2 linked regions of the Sus scrofa genome follow. The protein of the gene in region 1 purifies or fractionates together with the protein of each later gene. This does not show direct contact. Links are inferred from orthologs where the notes say so. Each region holds a gene or a part of one and is shown on either strand. Other genes may lie near its edges.

Region 1 (9,149 bases):
AGGGCCTCAGGCCCCGCCCCCTCATCGCGACCAAAACACGTGCCGCGTCCCGCCCTGCCCGATCACGCCGCGGCCAGGCTCTGATCACGCGGCTCCCCGTGGTGCCTATTGGTCGGTGGCGCACGGGCCTGGCGCGGATTGGCTGGCACCTGGCCGGCCCCGCCCCGGAGGGGCGCGGTGTATTTTGGTTTACCTCTGCACCCCGCCCCTCCGGTCGCCCCGCCCCTCCCACGCCGCGAGGGCCGCGCCGAGGCAGAGTGGCGCGGGCGGGCGGAGGCGCGCGCCGGCCGCTGGATCTCCGGCTCGCCGCCGCCCGCCACGCACGTGCGGCAGCTGTCGTGCGCCGAGCTCCCGCCCTGCGGCTGCTTTGTTGCCTCCGGGCCGCCGGCACCATGCTCACGCCGGGCTCTGCGGGCCCGGGCGACGCACACGCGGTGAGTGGTCGCCCATCGGAGAGAGGGGCGAGACGGGGCTGCGCTGCGTGTGCGGACACAGGGTGCGGAGGAGGGTGGGGGCACACGGTCTCGCCGCACCCACACCCTTGAGAGCCCGGGCGGGTTCGGCCGCCTGAAGGGGCGGCGGCCGCGCGAGGTCGCGCCGGGAGGGGCGGGGAGGGGGATGTGCTTCGCACCGCCCCACGCGCAGCTTTTTGTCTAGCGCTCCCGCAGCGGCCCCACCCAGGCAGCCCCAGGTGCGGGGCTATTTGCAGCCATGACGTCATCAGGCCCTGTGAGGAGGTGGCCGTTGGGCGGGGCGCGGCTGGCGGGAACTCGGCTTGCGGGCCGCGGGGGGCGGGGCGCCGGCGGAGAGGCAGGGGCTGTGGGAACTCGGCGCGGGGGGCGGGGTCGAGGGCGGGGGCGGGGCCAAGGCTGGCGGGAAAGCGGGGCGGGGCCAAGGCTGGCGGGAAGGCTGCACGCGCCGGGCGGGCAGCCTCAACCCCTGGGCCGCTCCTGTCCGTGCTGGAGGGCGCTGGCTGAACCTGGTACCGAGTCGTCGAGCCACGGGGACTGCCGAGGGGCCGAGAGAAGGGTCTGGGAGCCCCGCGTCACCCCGTCCCTCCCCTAGCAGGCCTAGCAGGTCTTATTAACCATTTCCACTTCTGTGACTTCACAGTTCTTTCCGGGGACTCGGCCAGAGTGACATCTGTAAGGGCGGCGGCGTCACCTGTGTGCCGCGGGGGGCCCCTGGGCGGGACAGGTTGGGGTTTAGGCAAGCTGAGTGGAAGAGTGTTATCTTCGTAGATGGAAAGGTTCTCGGGGAAGAGATGGGTTGCCTCCAGTCGGTTCCTGCTCTGCTCCCGCTTCAGAGGAGGAGCTGCGCTGGGAAGCCCTCGCCGGCTTGTGGCAAATCTTAGCCGTTCTTCCTCTCCCAGCGCTAGTCCGCGAGGACCGACCCAGGCGCTCCCGGGGGTGGGGACCAGGGCTGAACCGCGCGTTGCTCTCCCGCGCGGGACTCAGCTGAGTGATTCCCTGACGGGTGTGGATGCTCCAGGGTTGTCGCAAATGCATCTGTGGGGACGCTCGGGTGGTTTTGCCGACTCATCTCAGCCAACCTGAGCCATCGGTGTCCTTCCTCCTCCTCCCCCCCGGGAAAGTTTGACATTAGCCATTGGGTTCTCACCTCTGGAAAGGAGTGTTATTAATCATTTCCCAAAGAAAAGCAAGAGCTTAGCAACCGTTGCTAAGAGTCAGGGTGTTCTGGGGAAGCTGCTGACCGGCCCAGTCCATTCCTCCTCCCTCCCTCGGCGAAACACTGGCTTTGGAGCCAAGTGGTCCTCCGAGCTCTGCTGGCTGCTTCCCCACCCCCCAGAGCGCATGCGGTGCTGCGGGCTTGGGGTGGGTGTGGAGTGGGCGCGGGGCAGGTTCCTGGTGTGCATGCCTTCTTCCTCCTTACCGTGGGGGCTGTGCGTGACCCTTTTTGTGCTTCCGGGACTGAAAAGCCATAGTGTTGTGTCGCCTTTAGGTTGACATCATGGACATATGTGAGTCCATCCTGGAGAGGAAGCGGCATGACAGTGAGAGGTCTACGTGCAGCATCTTGGAGCAGAATGACATTGAAGCTGTTGAGGTGCTGGTTTGCATGAGCTCCTGGGGTCAGAGATCCCAAAAAGGGGACCTGTTGAAGATAAGACCGCTCACACCTGTCTCTGACTCTGGCGATATCACCACCACTGTGCCGATGGACTCACCTGCACCTGAGCTACCAAAGGACTTCCATTCTTTATCAACTCTGGTAAGAGGTGGGGGAGGGGGCGGTTTGCGCCTGGTCTAGAGTATCTTTGGTAAATGTGCTAAAGAGCTGCTGGGTAGATTCACCAGGATGCTGGCAAGCAAGTTCATACCCCCCTCTATGTGGGTCTTAAGGGTGAAAGCTGCTTTTATCTCTTGAAAATATGCTTTCCATTAATAGAGCATAGCTTGTAGCCACAGGGTGTAAATGTCCATAGGGTGAAACTATAGATTGATGTGGAAGAGCAAAATGTAGTCATTTTCCTGGGAAACCCGTAGGTTGAGGGCTCCAGTCCAGGAGCAGGATCTGTGGGTGGCAGCAGGGGAAAGCCTCTACTTTGCACCAGGCAGCCTTCATTAGCTGGGGTGAAATCCTGGGTCTCTGCCTCCCTTATGGGAGCCAATTTCTTTCTTGTGTGAGTTGGGTGCCGTCAGACACTGGCTTTTGTTTTTGTTTTGTTGTTACCGCAAACGGCAGCAAAGTTACTGGGAAGCACTGCCTCTCCACTTGGAGAAGTTGAAAGCTGTCAGTTGCCAACAAAACGGAAATTTTTGATCTGGCTGTTCTGGGCTGGTATCTTGCACTGGAAGGATGGGGCAGAACACTGACTTGTGGGGTGGGAAGGCACTTGTGGCAGCAGAGAGGATTGTACAAGGAGTGGGCCTGGCTGCGGGGGGGGGCACCTCTCAGAGTTACTTGGCATTGGGTTGAAAATAAGTGGGAGCTGTTTGTAGGGAGAAGTGGTACAAAGAGAGTCTTGGTTTAGGCCAAACCCCTGGTTAAAGCATGGCCTTTGGGGGATCGTTCTCCTAGGTTTTATTTTGTATCTAGTAGGCATTGAATGAGTGTGTGACGGATTGGATGGGGTGTGATCAATTGGTTGGATAGGTGTGTGATTGGATGAGTGTGTGTTTGATGGGGTAGGTGTGTGATCGATTGGATAAGGGTGTTAAATGATTATCACTGAGACTTTTTTAAAAACTTTGAGATTCTGATACTATTTTTTGAGATTCTGTATAAAGTTCTCATTTTGACTGTAAGTTTGATTCTTCATTTGTAGTCCTGATACTTAAATTGTTCACTTCAGTAGCTGTGCGAGCCCAGGAACAGCACCGGCGTCCTCACAGTGGAGCAGATGGATGGGTTGGCAGAGGTCGGGAAAGCGGGAGAAGGCAGGAAAGTTAGGTGCCTCCAGCAGGCTGTACATCCATTGGGTGCGATTGGGAGCAGACTTTGACCAATCTTTTCTAGATACTTCTTTGTAAAGACTTCGGGGGCAACATGATCAAAGTAAGTTCCTTAAAATTTAACCAAAATAACCTTTTCACACAGCACTTTTTTTTTTTTTTTTTAAGTGCATGACTCCTCCTCAGAGCCCTGACCTCACGGAGCCATCAACAGGGACACTTGGTCCTTCCCAAGTAACTGATTCCAAAGCCCCCATGGTCATGGCTGGCCCCTCAGCCTCTCGTGGGGGAGCCCCCCCTCCCTGCAGGGCCATGGTGACAAGTGTCATTTGCTACACCGGGGGGACTCCTGCCCACACTCCTACCACTCAGGCTCAAGAGCACCACCTTTCAGCCAACAGAGAAGCGGAAGCCCGGTGTCTGGAACACACCGAAGCTTTGCCGGACACACGCCTCACAGACAGTTTGCTCACCGTTAACGCGGTGTCCTGCCAGCCTTGCTCACACAAGTCTGGCGGCCTGACCTCCACCGACGACAAGAGCCCGCAGGCAGGGTGGCCTGTTGCGGTTCCGATCTGCTCACCAAAGAATCATGACAGTGACTTGCCAAGGAAAGCCACCCCTCTGATTTCTGTCCCTACGGCTAGTCCCCCTGTCCTTTGCCAGATGCTCCCTGTGACTGGACAAAGTGGCGTGTTAGCCGCTTTGCTGAAGCCTCCTCTCCCAGTGTCTACAGGGACTGCCAAACCCATCTTGCCCCATGCTGCTCCAGTCCCCCAGCCTGTGTTCGTGGGACCGTCCATGCCTCCGGGGGCTGTGATGTTGGTTCTGCCCCAGGGGGCCCTGGCCCAGCCCGCCACGTGCTCATCGAGCGCCCTGGCCGTGGCGAGTGCCAGGTTCTTGCCGCTCGCCCCTGCGCCCGTGTTCATCGCATCCAGTCAGAGCTGCGCCCCTCAGGTCGACTTTTCCCGCAGGAGGAACTATGTGTGCAGCTTCCCGGGCTGCCGGAAGACCTACTTCAAAAGCTCCCATCTCAAGGCCCACCTTCGCACTCACACAGGTGAGCACTGAGGCAGGTGGGGCGTCGGGAGGAAGGTCAGATCCCACGTCCGGGACACACTGAGCCTCCGCAGGGTGAGAGTGAAGCATGAGAACCATGGAGAAGGTGGCCCTGTTTCTTTGGTTCTGAAAAGTCTTCATAGCCTCGGGGTTGACATTAGCAGAGCCATCGGTGGTTTTCTAGAACTTGCTGTCTGCTCATCCCGGTAGATGCGGCGCAGTGCAGTCTTAGGATTGTGATCCTCAGGTCGACAGGCTGGGGGAGCGAGGCTCACGTTGCCCCTTTTCTTCACGTTGCAGTCAGTCGGCATCTCATTCTTCCTTTCATTTTAGAAAATAGGCATTTGTGCTCAACACGTGTTTTATTAGCGTGATTGCAGTTTTTTCTGGGGAAAGAGCTTTACAATCTATGGGAAAAATTGAATTCTAGGCTATTTGCACTTTAAGGGCATGTCGTTTTTTTGCTTTGGGAAATATGTAGTTTTTAATTTGGAAGAAGTCGCAAGAGAAACTGTAATGACTTAGTCTCTCTAGTGTCCCATCAGCTTCATCCAATAGAATTTTCTGCAGGGACGGAAATGTCCTCTGTTGGTTAGGGGAGCAGCCACTGGCCACTTGGACTTGAAATGGGAACAGTGTGGCAGAGGGACTGAGTTGCACATTCTCATTAAGTTTGTGTTTATGTAGTTACTTGTAGCTACCCTACTGTGTAACAGAAGGGTGAAGTTGCCTGGTAGGTAGTTTTTTGTTTTATCTTGTCTTGGTTTTTTTGTTTGTTTGTTTGTTTTTTCGCTTTTTTGGACTCCACCTGCAGCATATGGAGGTTCCCAGGCTAGGGGTCGAATCAGAGCTGCAGCTGCCGGCCTGCGCCACAGCCACAGCAACGCAGGATCCGAGCCATGTCTGTGACCTACACCACCGCTCATGGCAACGCTGGATCTTTAACTCACTGAGCAAGGCTAAGGATCAGATCGCATCCGCATGGATTCTAGTTGGGTTCATTACCACTCAGCACTACAGGAACTCCACGGTAGGTAGTTGATTAGGCCAGAGGTCTCAGGTGTTCCGCTTAGTGTCCGTTGTTTTGTTTTCAAGGGTCCTGCGGTCTGCGAAACTCACCTTTCAAAGGTTCACACAGGCACGTACATATAAGCACAGAAACAGGTTGCATGGTCTGCAGTAAAGCTGTGTTTCATTAACTCTTGATCGTGGAACCCCCTCCACCAGAGTGTCTGCTCGTGGCCTGTGCGCCAGCAGTGAACTGTGGAACGTAGCTGCAGAGAGGATGAGCTGTTGGCAGTTTTTAGGGTACTTCACCCCAAAATGCATTTGAGCTGGAGTGCTTTCTAATTACCATGTCAGGACGCGAATCGCGGCAGCTCCTGCTTGCAGAATGAAGCGGAGCCTGGAACACAGGCCTTTGAAAGGAGCTCTGCTGCTTCCACACGGCGGGGCGGGCTCTTCGCTTCAGGGGTAAGGCCCGAGCCTGGCCGGTGCCAAGCTTGCCTCTCCGCCTTAACCTTTTCTCTCCCGATTGTCCTTCATCCCCGCCCTCCGCCTGTCCCTGCTCCCTGACGCCTTCAGCTCCACCCCCCCCCCCCGGCCTTCTCTTTTTGATTTTTGATTTGTGACTTAGCTACTCGTGTGCTCTCACTGGATGCCCACTCTCAGTGTCTGGCGTAAGAGACTGACACCAGTACACGATCCTGGGCCTCGGTGCCACGGGGGCCGTCGGGGCTATATCCGCTTCAGCGGGCGCTCGGGCTCGTGGACCCGGCAGGCTAGGTTTCCACTGAGCGAGCCTCAGGTCCCGCCTAAACACCGATGCCACCACATGTGAGGAAGCAGTGGCATGAGGTTTATTCAGCCAGCTTTCCGTGGTAGAAATACTGATGTGATGGCATAAAATAAGATGATCAGACAAGCTCGCTTCACATTTCCCGAAGTACTTAAAGTAACCATGAGTGAGCTGAAGAATCAACTTCTTTTTTTTTTTTTTGTCTTTTGTCCTTTTAGGGCTGAACCTGAGGCATATGGAGGTTCCCAGGCTAGGGGTCGAAGCTGTAGCCGGTGGCCTATGCCAGAGCCGCAGCAACGCCGAATCCTTAACCCACTGAGCGAGGCCAGGGATCGAACCCACAGCCTCATGGTTCCTAGTCGGATTCGTTTCTGCTGTGCCACAACAGGAACTCCAAGAATCAACTTCTTGTGCTATTTTTTGTAAACACGAAATTGGAGTTTTCCTAAGAAATAGAAATGTTAGATAAGTTTACCTTAGATGAGAGTTCTTCCTCTGCCAATCTGAACTTTCTCTTTTTTTCTTGCTTTTTAGGGCTGCCCCCTCGGCATATGGACGTTCTCAGGCTAGAGGTTGAATCGAAGCTGCAGCCTCCAGCCTACACCACAGCCACAACAACTCCGGATCTGAGACGTGTCTGCAACCTATGCGACAACTCATGGCAACACTGGATCCTTAACCCACTGAGCGAGGCCAGGGATGGAACGAACCTGCGTCCTCATGGATCCTAGTCAGATTCATTTTTGCTGAGCCACGATGGGAACTCCTGAGATTTTTTTTAATTAGGGTAAGGTAGAGTGAGGAATTCTCAGGATTAAGGATACGGCGTTGTCACTGCTATGGCGCAGGTTTGATCCTTGGCCCCGGAACTTCCGCATGCCTTGGACTTGGCCCAAAGAAGAGAGAGAGGATAAGGTAGAGTAAGGAAGGGCAACGTTTTTGGTGTGTTGGAAACATAGGACACTTTAGGGAGTTCCCATTGTGGCTCAGTGGGTTATGAACCCAACTCGTAACCATGAGCTTGCGGGTTCCATCCCTGGCCTCGCTCAGTGGGTTAAGGATCAGGTGTTGCTGCGAGCTGTGGGGTAGGTCATAGATGCGGCTTGGATCTGGCATGGCTGTGGCATAGGCTGGTAGCTGCAGCTCTGGTTCGACCTACAGCTGGGAACCTCCATATGCCATAGGCGCAGCCCTAACAAAGAAAAAAAAGAACGAAAACATAGGACACTTTATAAATCCCATGCCAAAGGGTTGTTTTCTGTCCAACATCTGGCCATCTGGTATGCTGCCAGCAGAGGTGGTAGTTTCCTGGAAACAGGTAACCTCACAGGTAACCTTACACTTAGAACGTGGGGTCTTTGAAATCTGTGAAGTTCGGGCCCTTGTTTCTTAAAATGGTGCATAAGCGTTGCGAGGCTGAATTTTCCTGTTAATTCAGTTTTGAAAAACGTTGCATATTTAGTTGATGTCTTTTCCACACTCATTCACTGCCTGTCAGACAGAGTGCTGTGCCAGGGGCTGAACTGTGCAGAGAAGGATGAACTAGCAAGTCCTCAGCCTTTGGGAGGGTAGGTCACATGACACAGAAGAGCATTTGGCAAATCCATTCATGCACAAGCCGTATGTGATTGTCACAACCTGGCCCAGTTAAGGGCTTCAGGATGCAGGAAAGGGAGCACTCCTACTGGCTGGAGAGGCCCAGGAGGAGCCCGGAGAAGGGCTCCCTGGCTCATCGCCGTACCGCCAGGTGGACGTGGTAGGGACCCCTGCCCAGTACTCTGGAACTTGGAATGATGATGCCTGAAGCTTGGAACGAGAGATAGGAAGGTAGCTGTTCAAATTCCACCCTGTTTGGTAATTAGCCTCTTTGTCAAGGTAGTGCGAATGTGAGGGGGATGGATTCTGAGGCGTCTGAAGGTCCTGGGAGGGACTCTTGTAGATGTGCAACTTCTGAGAGGGAAGGAAATTATTCCTTTCAAGAGTCTTTCTCCTATTCCAAGCTAACTGTCAAAGATTTATTTTCATTTAAAAATGTCTTTAGAAGGATGAGTTTGAGGGCTTTGGCCCCTGCCGCATCCAGTCTCGGGTGTGGCAGGGAGACAGAGTCTTGGGGGATTCCTTGACTTCCAGACAATCTGATGCCAGAACAGTAGGCTACTCCTTGCTTCTTGGGTTTCGGTGAACCAGGTTTTAAAACGACACGAATTGGCCTACTCAGCGAGGTGCTGAGCATTGACTTCCTGTGCCTTCTCTCCCCTCTTAGGAGAGAAGCCTTTCAGCTGCAGCTGGGATGGCTGCGACAAGAAATTCGCTCGTTCAGATGAACTCTCTCGCCACCGCAGAACTCACACTGGGGAGAAGAAGTTCGTGTGCCCCGTGTGCGAGCGGCGGTTCATGCGCAGCGACCACCTGACCAAGCACGCCCGGCGCCACGGGAGCACCCGCAGGGTCCCCAGCTGGCAGGCGGAGGTGGGCAAGCTGAGCAGAATGGCCTCGGCCGAGCCCCCGGGGAGCCCGCTGCTGTGCAGGCCGGCCTCGGCCTGACGGGCGCGCTGGGGCCCGCGGAGGGGGTCTGTAAAAGCCTCTTTCAGGACTGGAGCGGATGGTTTTCCCTCCAAAAAAAAGAAAAAAATTGGCTTGAGGGCTGGGAGAAAGTGGGGAGCTGGTTCTGATGAGAGCGCGGTAACCTGTCTCTTTTTGGTTGGGGCCCTGTTCCATGTGTCTTGTAGTTTCGGAGTTTCTTTTAAGGCAGTGGAGGAAAATGCCATGGTCTGAGTCACCAGCATTCACGCAAACCTTCTGGCAATAAATTTTACAAAATGTGGATTTGTACAACCTTTCTATTCATGTTTTGTAGAAATGAGACAGGGTACTAA
Region 2 (9,149 bases), on another chromosome or scaffold:
ACAAAGCTTTCTGGTGGATGATTAAGCATTCTTAGTAAAAAGAAAATTTTAGAAGGAAGAAACAGTTAACATTACAAGTTTCACCTATGGCAAGTTTGCAAAAGCTATTAACAGAAAAAGGTTCTCAATGTAAGTGTGAAACATTTTCTCAGGAAAAAAAAAAAAAAAAAAAAAAGGAGAGAGAAAGGAGTTTTGACTTCCTCATTCATATCAATTCTCCATCCCTGGTACCACAATCCCTTCTGGAGGAAGTTAAGGAATCAGGGCTAATCTTTTCTTGGGAAGGCCTTACCTCTTTACAAAGAGGAGTCCGTCCTGTGCACTTGGGCTGCTGATAACTCTTTGGTAGGGCTCGATAGCTGGAGCCCAACCGCTTACAAGAGGCATAGTCTATCTCCATAGCAATGCCCTCTGTGGCTCGTTCCTTTGGAAAGGTTTCCAGATGTACAGATTCCTTATAGCCCAGAAAGTTTTTAAACCAATTAAACAATTCTGGGAATTTCCTGAAGAATCAAATAAAAAATTGTTAACTATAAACATGATGCAGTTATACTGAGGTGTGATTACCACTATTTGGTGTTGGGTCAGAACTCTGCTACCACTGGACAAATTCCAATAATAAATATTATTTCCTGCCTAAGAAGCACTACTCTTCTGAATATGTGGTTTCTCCTTTTCTTCTCTTTCTCTAAAGATCAGTTAAGGTAGTGATGGAAGAACTGCACTGAAACTAGACAATAACGAGCCATTCTTCTAATCAAGATTATTGCTTCAATGTTCAGATAATTCTTAATTTGTCAAAGCCAGGATTCTATAACCCTGGAAAAGACTGGCTTTATAAACAGCCAATACCGGTCAGGAGATCAGGAGACCATAGTCTTGGCCAATGCCTTCTTCGCCTACTTTTTTGTCTCCAGAGAGGAACTAGAAGACTTCCCAGAGGACTCTTGTCATGGACATTTTAGGAGTCAACTGACCTGCCAAAATCAAATTAATTTCACCTACCATGTACTCCCACAAACTAGGTTTTATTTCACCTCCATATCAGGCATCAAGGCTAAGCCCTTGATTCCACTTACCCCAGGAAAGGAGAGACTAACTGCACAAGCTCAGCCCGAGAGATCACCTCCTGGTTAAAAATAACAAGACAGCGCAGGAAATTTTCATAGGCCTCTGTACTCCGCAGAGCCTTTCGGACCTTATGGAGACAATCGAAAGGAAAAATAGTTAAGTGGGGAATCAAGAGATCCTGGATTGTGTTTAAAATTGGGGAAATTTGAACTGCTATTTGATGATATTAAGGAATCAATGCTAGGTTTTTTAGATGCGATAATGTTTGGAAAAAAGGTATCATTTTAAAAGAAACCTAGTAAAATACCTACAGTTGAAATAATATATCATGTGGGATTTGTCTCCAAATAATCTGGGATAGCTGTGTGCACATCAAATAGTACACCGACTAGGAGCTAAGAACTGCTGAGGCTGGATGATGGGTATATGAAGGGTCATTTTACTATTCTCTTTAATTTCACATTTGTTTTAAATTTTCCATAAAAATTTGGAAAATGAGACCTTGAAGTAAACAAGACATTTACATTTTTACATGCTTGATTTTCCACACCCTATCAGAGTTACCCAAGATTCTGCTGCCTCTCCTGACTTTATACAAGAATCTTTATAAACACTCTTTTCAAACTCTGGTAATCTTGAATAATGACCTTTTAAAATAAGGTACTTTTGTCCTCTGACTTGATCTTTTCCCTTCCTCCATTCAGAACACTAATAAGCATTTTAATATCCAAAAACCTAGGTGTTCAGGAAGTTTCCATGTGGCACAGTGGGTTAAGGATCCAGTACTGGCCACAGTTATGGTACAGGTTGCAACAGCAGTATGGGTTTGATCCCTAGCCTGGAGACTTCCACACACCAGGTGTGGCCAAAAAAAAAAAAAAAGGTTCAGTGGCATAGACACAGTAAAACTTGCCTGGCTAGATAAGCAATCTAGAGTTTCAATGTCAAAAGTGTATATATCTAGCACTGTGGGGATTGCAGACCCTCACTCACCAAACCCGGTAGTTTATCAAAAAACCCCTTCCCCAGGCTCTCATATACTTTTCATAACTATCAATCGGTAGACACTATATGGAATATGGATTTTCAAGGCAAAAGATGAATATATACTATTACTTTAATTTGTTAGCTTTTATTATTAATTTTACTTAATATATATTTTTAAATTTTTTAATTAGCTGTTTTGATTTCTTCCATTTTCAATTTCTGCAAACCCATGCCCAGATAAATCACTGGGTGAAAACATAACGAAATTTATTTTATTTATTTTTTTGTCTTTTTAAGGCCGCATCCACGGCATATGGAGGTTCCCAGGCTAGGGGTCAAATGGGAGCTGTAGCTGCTGGCCTACACCACAGCCACAACAACACCAGATCTGAGCCATGTCTGCAACCTACACCATAGCTCAGGGCAACACCGGATCCTTAACCCATCGAGCAAGGCCAGGGATCAAACCTGCGTCCTCATGGATACTAGTCAGATTAGTTTCTGTTGAGCCACGGCGGAAATTCCTCTGTTAGTTTTAAACTTATACAAAAGTAGACAGAATAGTCTAATAAACCCTATATACTGAGCCAGCCTCAACAATCAATACACAGTAAATTTTGTTTCATCTACACCCATTTCCCCCACCACTGAATTCTAAAGCAAACTCCAGACTTTTCAGCTATACACACTTCAGTCATCTCTAAGAAACAAGTACTTCAAAAACAGCAATAAAAAATACTACTCTTTAAAAAAATTAACTTATTCAGTCCCCCTCTCTTACCCTTTCTTTGCCATTTGTCAGTTGTGACCTGGACTTCACATCTGCCTCAAAAGCCCCAAAGGCCCAGAGAGCCCTCAGAAATGGTTCAGGTCAAAGCTAGAGCCAGGGACTATTTTGCAGCACAGCTCGCATAGGCACAGGAGGGCTAGAGACAAATCGAGAGGCACCAATTCTGGAGATAATCATTTGCCCTTCGGCAAAAACCCAAGGATGCAAGACACGGTAAGTCACCACCAGATCAATCCAGGCTGGCTCCAGCCAGTGAGAAGTCTGAAGTTTGCTAGCCACTATGATAAAAGTAGCCTGCTAATTAAACTGACTCCAAGGAGGAAGTCAGACTCACACACCACACAACACTGACTACACCTGTAATCGCAACCCTGTCTGCTCATTAGAATCACCTGGGGAGCTTTGAAAACATACAAGGAAATCAGAATTCCCATTAACCCTATATGCCATACCTCGAACAAGTATAACAATTAGAAGGTTACAAGTCATCTTAAGTCCTCAATAATTAGTATACTGACACTCCTCACTATATAGTTCTGGGCATCTACAATGAGGAGCTCCAAACATCTTTTGAGAGCAATATGCCTTTTTTAAAAGCTTTCTTCCATGATGGCAAATGCTATATTTTGCTTCAAACTACTTCACAAAACCCAAGCAGTCAATGCTACCATTTCTCTAGCTGTGCTAATAGTTCTCATAGACTGAAAGGACCTACAATTTGGAAACTGTTAAAAAGTAGAAAATCCTTAAAAAAAAAAAAAAAAAAAAAAAAAGTCCTACCTAATTATCTTGATGTCTCTAAAACAAAATCTTTTGGGGGACGAGGTTATTTTCTTTGGGCATTAAGAGCTGATATTAAATCCAATTCATTCAACACTCACCTTATCAAAAAATAACGATTCCGTTCCTACACCATGCTTGCTGGCATCTGCCATAGAAGAATCCTTGAGACTGAGCAGTTTGGGTTTCTTCTGCAAAAAAAAGGAAGAATACAGGACAGACACATAAGATTCAAAGAAGTTTTCTGAGTTTCGTTTTCATCTCTGTTTGATAGTTCCATCACTAATCCGCCACTGATTAGTAATTTGCAACAAATAAGAGAATCCAAGTCACTAACTTGCCTTACATCCTGAAAGATTTCCACTCTTTTCTATTTCAGATTGCCGTCGGTTTTTTCCTAGAGGTTCACAGATCATTCTACTCCCCAAATACTCTCTATAAATGGTCACAGCACTACTATGATGTTAGAATTAATATCCTTACTTTTTCCATAGGCAAAAAAATTTAGAACCTAATGCCAATGCCTTGTCTTCTTAGCTGTGGAGGCAGAAAAGTTTTTAAAAAGAGCTGGAGTACATAGAAATCAATCTTTAACCTTCACCTTTTAATCAGTTTGAAAATTCACGAAAAAAGCAGTATATTTTCCTATTAGAAGGAATAATTACCTTGCTGGCAGAAGCCACTCAAACCAGAGTTAAGACTGCTCTTTCAAATCAAATGAATAGGCCATGATATAACTACCAAGCAAAAAATTTACTTTAAAAAAGCCACCTCTAAACTACATGTCAAGAAATGCACAAACTTTGGGAGAAGCTGCACATTAACCTCCGCCACCTTGGAGAACACTCTCTCGCAGGAGCCACAGCCTCTACTTATATTGCCTAAGGAGAAGGCAGATAGGGAATTCTAACCTCCCAATATAGTGTTTCCACCTGTGGGTCATCAAGTGTGGGAGGAGACCAAGATTGAAGCATGTCTCCTGACCTGTTCTTACTACTCATAAAACACTCCTTACTAAAGTGAGGAAATATAAACTACTGCTATGTTCAACTTGCTTCCAAAAGGAGAAACTATTAAAAACATTGAAAAATAGTTCTTCAAAGTGTCAGCAATCCATAACAGGTCAGTCTTTGCGGTCATTTGCTGGTTTATCAGTCCTTTTTTTTTTTTTGCTTCTTAGGGCCACACCTGAGGTACATGGAAATTCCCAGGCTAGGGGTGGAATCAGAGCTACAGCTGCTGGCTTGCGCCTCAGCAATTCACAATCTGAGCTGCGTCTGTGACCTACACCACAGCTCACAGCAATGTCAGATCCTTAACCCACTGAGCAAGACCAGGGACTGAACTCAATGATACCAGTCAGGTTCATAACCTGCTGAACTGCAACAAGAACTCCCTCGGTCATTTCTTACCGTAAGAAGTTACACTAGCTTTTATTCTTTAATTAAATTCTGCGGACACATCTATCTCTTCAATGCTATATGTTAGAATTCAACATTCAATACATACACCTAGTCTGCTCCCTAGCACAGGTGCCCCATATTAAAGAGAAAGGGAGTGGGCTCAGCTTTTTGCAGGCAGACCATCAGTATTGGCTGTAACAAGAAGCATCATGAGATAGGTCACTAAGAGGAGTTTAAGACCACCCTGTTACAGCCCAAAGTTCCTCCTTGGAGATTAAGATGATACAGGTAAGATGTGGCAACCCAAAAGAACCTTGAGCAGGATAGGTCTCTAAACCGAAGAAGAGATCCCACAAAGCATATGCACTTTACTCACAAAAGAACCTCAGAGACCACTGACTTATTTTGGGAACAATTATCGAACTTAATAATCTTACTTAGCACAAAGCAGGCTTAAGGCATCAAATCAAGAAGGGAAAAATTAAGTCTCAGAAACCCTTGGCAGAAACAAACAAAAAATAGATGAGAGTTAACCACAAAGAAGAGAGAAAACATACGGAAAACCATTAAGAACTCAAAAAAGCACAGTAATCTGAACAATTAGCAGTATTCTGGGAGTTCCCATTGTGGTACAATGATATCAAATCTGACTAGTCACCCCATGAGGATGCGGGTTCCATCCTTGGCCTTGCTCAGTGGGTTGGGGATCCAGCATTGCCGTGAGCTGTGGTGTATGTGGCAGACTGCAGCTTGGATCCCGCACTGCTAGTGTAGGCCAGCAGCTGTAACTCTGATTCTCAACCCCTAGCCTGGGAACTGGGAACTTTCATATGCCGTGGGTATGGACCTAAAAAAAAACAAAACAAAAGCAAAGCAGTATTCTAACATTCTTTCACAAGGCCAGGTAAAAAGTTTTGCATTGAGTTCTGAGACATAAACCAACTCTGAATATCAGGATCTAACTGTCAAACCTTGAGCACGTGCCCACTAGAATCGTTCCAGGAAGTCGAAATAAGCAGCTGCACCCACTCTCACCTTCACTGGAGGGGTGGCTCCTGTTCCAGAGTGTCTGCGGATCTGGCAGCCATTCTGGCTGGGCCTCTGTGGCTTGTTGTTTAGTTGAGGCTTCTTTACAGTGCCTCCATGGTCATTTCTCACGGAATCCACCTTCTCAGCAGTTGTTTTGCTTAAAAGCTAATTAAGACACATGAAAAAGATTAATGTTTTTATCAAAGCAAAAAAGTACCTTTCAGAAAAAGTCTCCTTCTGATTCCAGCTCCCTAACTTATCTGAGCTAACCATTCTCAATAGCGCAGTTCTAAATAAAACTTACCACGGAGCTGTTGGCATCTGGTAGGAACTGTCCAAATTCTGACAACAGATCTTCCTGATTTTTAAAAAGACGAGCCACCTGGGCATACACCTCCTGCTCAGTCAACGCTGGAGTGTAGTTTCCTCCAGCTTCCTTGGCATTTCGCTGCTCTTTCTAATAGGAAATTGTAAATGGGAAGAGATCATATTAGAGAGCCACTGTTTCTTTGTTTTTTGTTTTTGTTTTGTTTTTGTCTTTCTAGGGCTGCACCCAAGAGATATGGAAGTTCCCAGGCTAGGGGTTGAATTAGAGCTATAGCTGCTGGCCTACACTACAGCCACAGCAATGCCAGATCAGAGCTGCGTCTGCGACCTACACCACAACTCACGGCAATGCCGGATCCTTAACCCAGAGATCGAACCCTCGTCCTCATGGATACTAGTCAGGTTTGTTAATGGCTGAGCCATGACGGGAACCCCAAGGGCCACTGTTTTGAATGACTCACTTTTGCACACTTTCTGAGATGTCTGACAGGAGCTCTGTATTTTACCGACTTTTGGGCTGTACTTAAGAGGAAAGAAAGACTATGTTTTAGCACCTGTTCTAGCCTCTAGTTTTTAAGTTGAGAAATAAGTGGAAGATGGCGGCTGAGACTTAATTCCTTTTAAAACTAGGGCAGTGGGGGTTCCTGTTGTGGCTCAGAAGGTTACAAACCCAACTAGTATCCATGAGGATGAAGCTTTGATACCTGGTCTCATTCAGTGGGTTAAGGATCCCGCACTGGTTGCTGTGAGCTATGGTGCAGGTTGAAGATACAGCTTGGATCCTACATTGCTATGGCTGTGGCAGCTGCAGCTCCGATTCGACCCCTAGCTTGGAAACTTCCATATGCTGTGGGTACAGCCCTAAAAAGCAATAAATAAATAAATAAATAAAACCAGAGCAGTATATGTGAATGTTCAAGACAGACCACTCCCGAATGATAAAACACAAAATACTAGAGAAATTTCTTTTTATTCTACTGTAAATTAACTATACCACCCAAATCATCATTTAAACTTTCCAGATAAATAAGCATCCATCTCACAGAGCAGTGACTTTGAAAACTGTGACTGGCTGCTAAAATTCAATTAAAATTGAAGTCAGGCAAATCAAACTAGCTTTATGAATGCAATTTCTAACAGGTTAATTTCCAGTAAGAATTCGTGGCCACAATAATGGTTATTTACATTCTTCTCTGAATAGATGTCCACAGAGGACAACCTGGTTAAGACAGGGTGAAAAGGCAACAGTCTTACCTGATATGTGTGCAAAATCTCCAGGAATGCTTTGTAGATGTCTGGTTGGCCCTGGAACCTGTTCTTGATCTTATTGACATAGTTGATGGCATGGTTAAACTCCACAGGCTGATTGTTCTGCAAGGGCGGGGCTGTTCCCAACGAGATTGTCACTGGTGTATGAGGCTGGACAGGTGGAGAACGTGGGGATGCGTATGGTGGGAGAGGGGGAGTCTGCTGACTGGCTGGAGTATGTGCTTGTAGTTGGGAAGGCTAAAAAGAAAAAAGTCTTTATTCTCCTCAGGAACACAGATGGTTTACCACAGGAAAGAAAGTTCAAACTAAAGAGAAATAAAGTGTCCGATCGACTTACATACTTTACTCACTCTGGCCAGGCCATTTTAGCCCAATTCAAATCACAAAGGGCAAGGTTGGAAGTGTAGAGGATTCATACATTGTAATACAAAAATTCAGTCTCAAATGTTCTAAATACAACCTTAAAAGTAGGCTATATCTCCAATTATAGGGAAGAATTTTTCATATGCAATATTTAGCTCACTTGCTCAATAGGTACACATAGAATAGGGAAAGAAACCTCATTCTACATAGATCTTTAATGTCCAGAAGACAATTCAACTATTGCAATAAATTCATATTTAAAAAAAAGTCTTCTCAACCAGCTCTGCCCAACAGAGTTCTCTATATTGCATGACATCCAAATGAGGCTACTGAGCACTTTAAATTTAGCTAGTGAAATTGAAAAGCTGCATTTCTTTTAAGTAAAACACTCCATCATCACCATCACCACCACTATTATCAAGATCTTCCGTTTAGCTTGCTATAACCTAACCTGGTAAATGACGTAAATCTTGTAAAATCATGACCACAGAGACAACTGATCATAAGATGACCGTTTCTGCCTGTGCTATTCAAATACTACCACACAAAGTTGCCATCTGTTGGCATGCTCATGGATTCAAAAAGCCGAAGTTGGGGGCAAAAAGAGTCCTTGCAGGTTGTTGAGGTGTTGATTTAAACAGATATATAAATAATTATGTGTTATGTGAACATGTGCCACATTATAGGGATGTGACTACCGCATCTTCACCGATAAAATTTTAACTTGAATATCTAAGTCTTATACAAGTGGAAAATGCCAAAGGAGGGTGCTTTCTAGGGATGTATGTTACACGGTGCAAAGTTTTCCAAGTGCTCACCTTGCTGACTTTGGCAGGTGGGGGCTGAGGAGCTGGCTGGGCAGGAGCTGGAGCAGACTGGGCTGAAGGCTGGGAAGGATGCTGGGGTGGTGGTTGAGGCTGGGGCTGGATGCCATGGGTGGGGATCTGATGAACCTGGCCAGGAGTTGTCACATTCACCATGTCATTGGTTTGCACCTCAATCTTGTAGCCAGGGGGCAAGAAGGTATTGAAGCCCATGATCAGGTCAGGGTGGCCTTTGAACAGCTGGGACACACGACTAATCACTCCTGGAGTGTCAATGCTGATTAAAAAAAAAAAAAAAAAAACAAA

Evidence for each region.
Region 2: the proteins of KLF11 (region 1) and SIN3A purify together in Homo sapiens (affinity purification with western blotting, with the first as the bait; 3 studies listed by BioGRID). This does not show direct contact. The link is inferred for Sus scrofa from reciprocal best matches to the Homo sapiens genes KLF11 and SIN3A.

The regions. Positions count from the first base shown.
Region 1 is NC_010445.4:126,420,979-126,430,127, reverse strand, and holds the start of KLF11 (Krueppel-like factor 11), read left to right. Parts: upstream 1-237; 5' UTR 238-392; coding exon 393-434; intron 435-1,962; coding exon 1,963-2,232; intron 2,233-3,584; coding exon 3,585-4,476; intron 4,477-8,536; coding exon 8,537-8,817; 3' UTR 8,818-9,149. UniProt on the Homo sapiens protein: Transcription factor. Activates the epsilon- and gamma-globin gene promoters and, to a much lower degree, the beta-globin gene and represses promoters containing SP1-like binding inhibiting cell growth.
Region 2 is NC_010449.5:58,207,305-58,216,453, reverse strand, and holds part of SIN3A (paired amphipathic helix protein Sin3a), read right to left. Parts: intron 9,121-9,149; coding exon 8,838-9,120; intron 7,894-8,837; coding exon 7,642-7,893; intron 6,518-7,641; coding exon 6,365-6,517; intron 6,226-6,364; coding exon 6,067-6,225; intron 3,820-6,066; coding exon 3,730-3,819; intron 1,199-3,729; coding exon 1,080-1,198; intron 504-1,079; coding exon 293-503; intron 1-292. UniProt on the Homo sapiens protein: Acts as a transcriptional repressor. Corepressor for REST. Interacts with MXI1 to repress MYC responsive genes and antagonize MYC oncogenic activities. Also interacts with MXD1-MAX heterodimers to repress transcription by tethering SIN3A to DNA.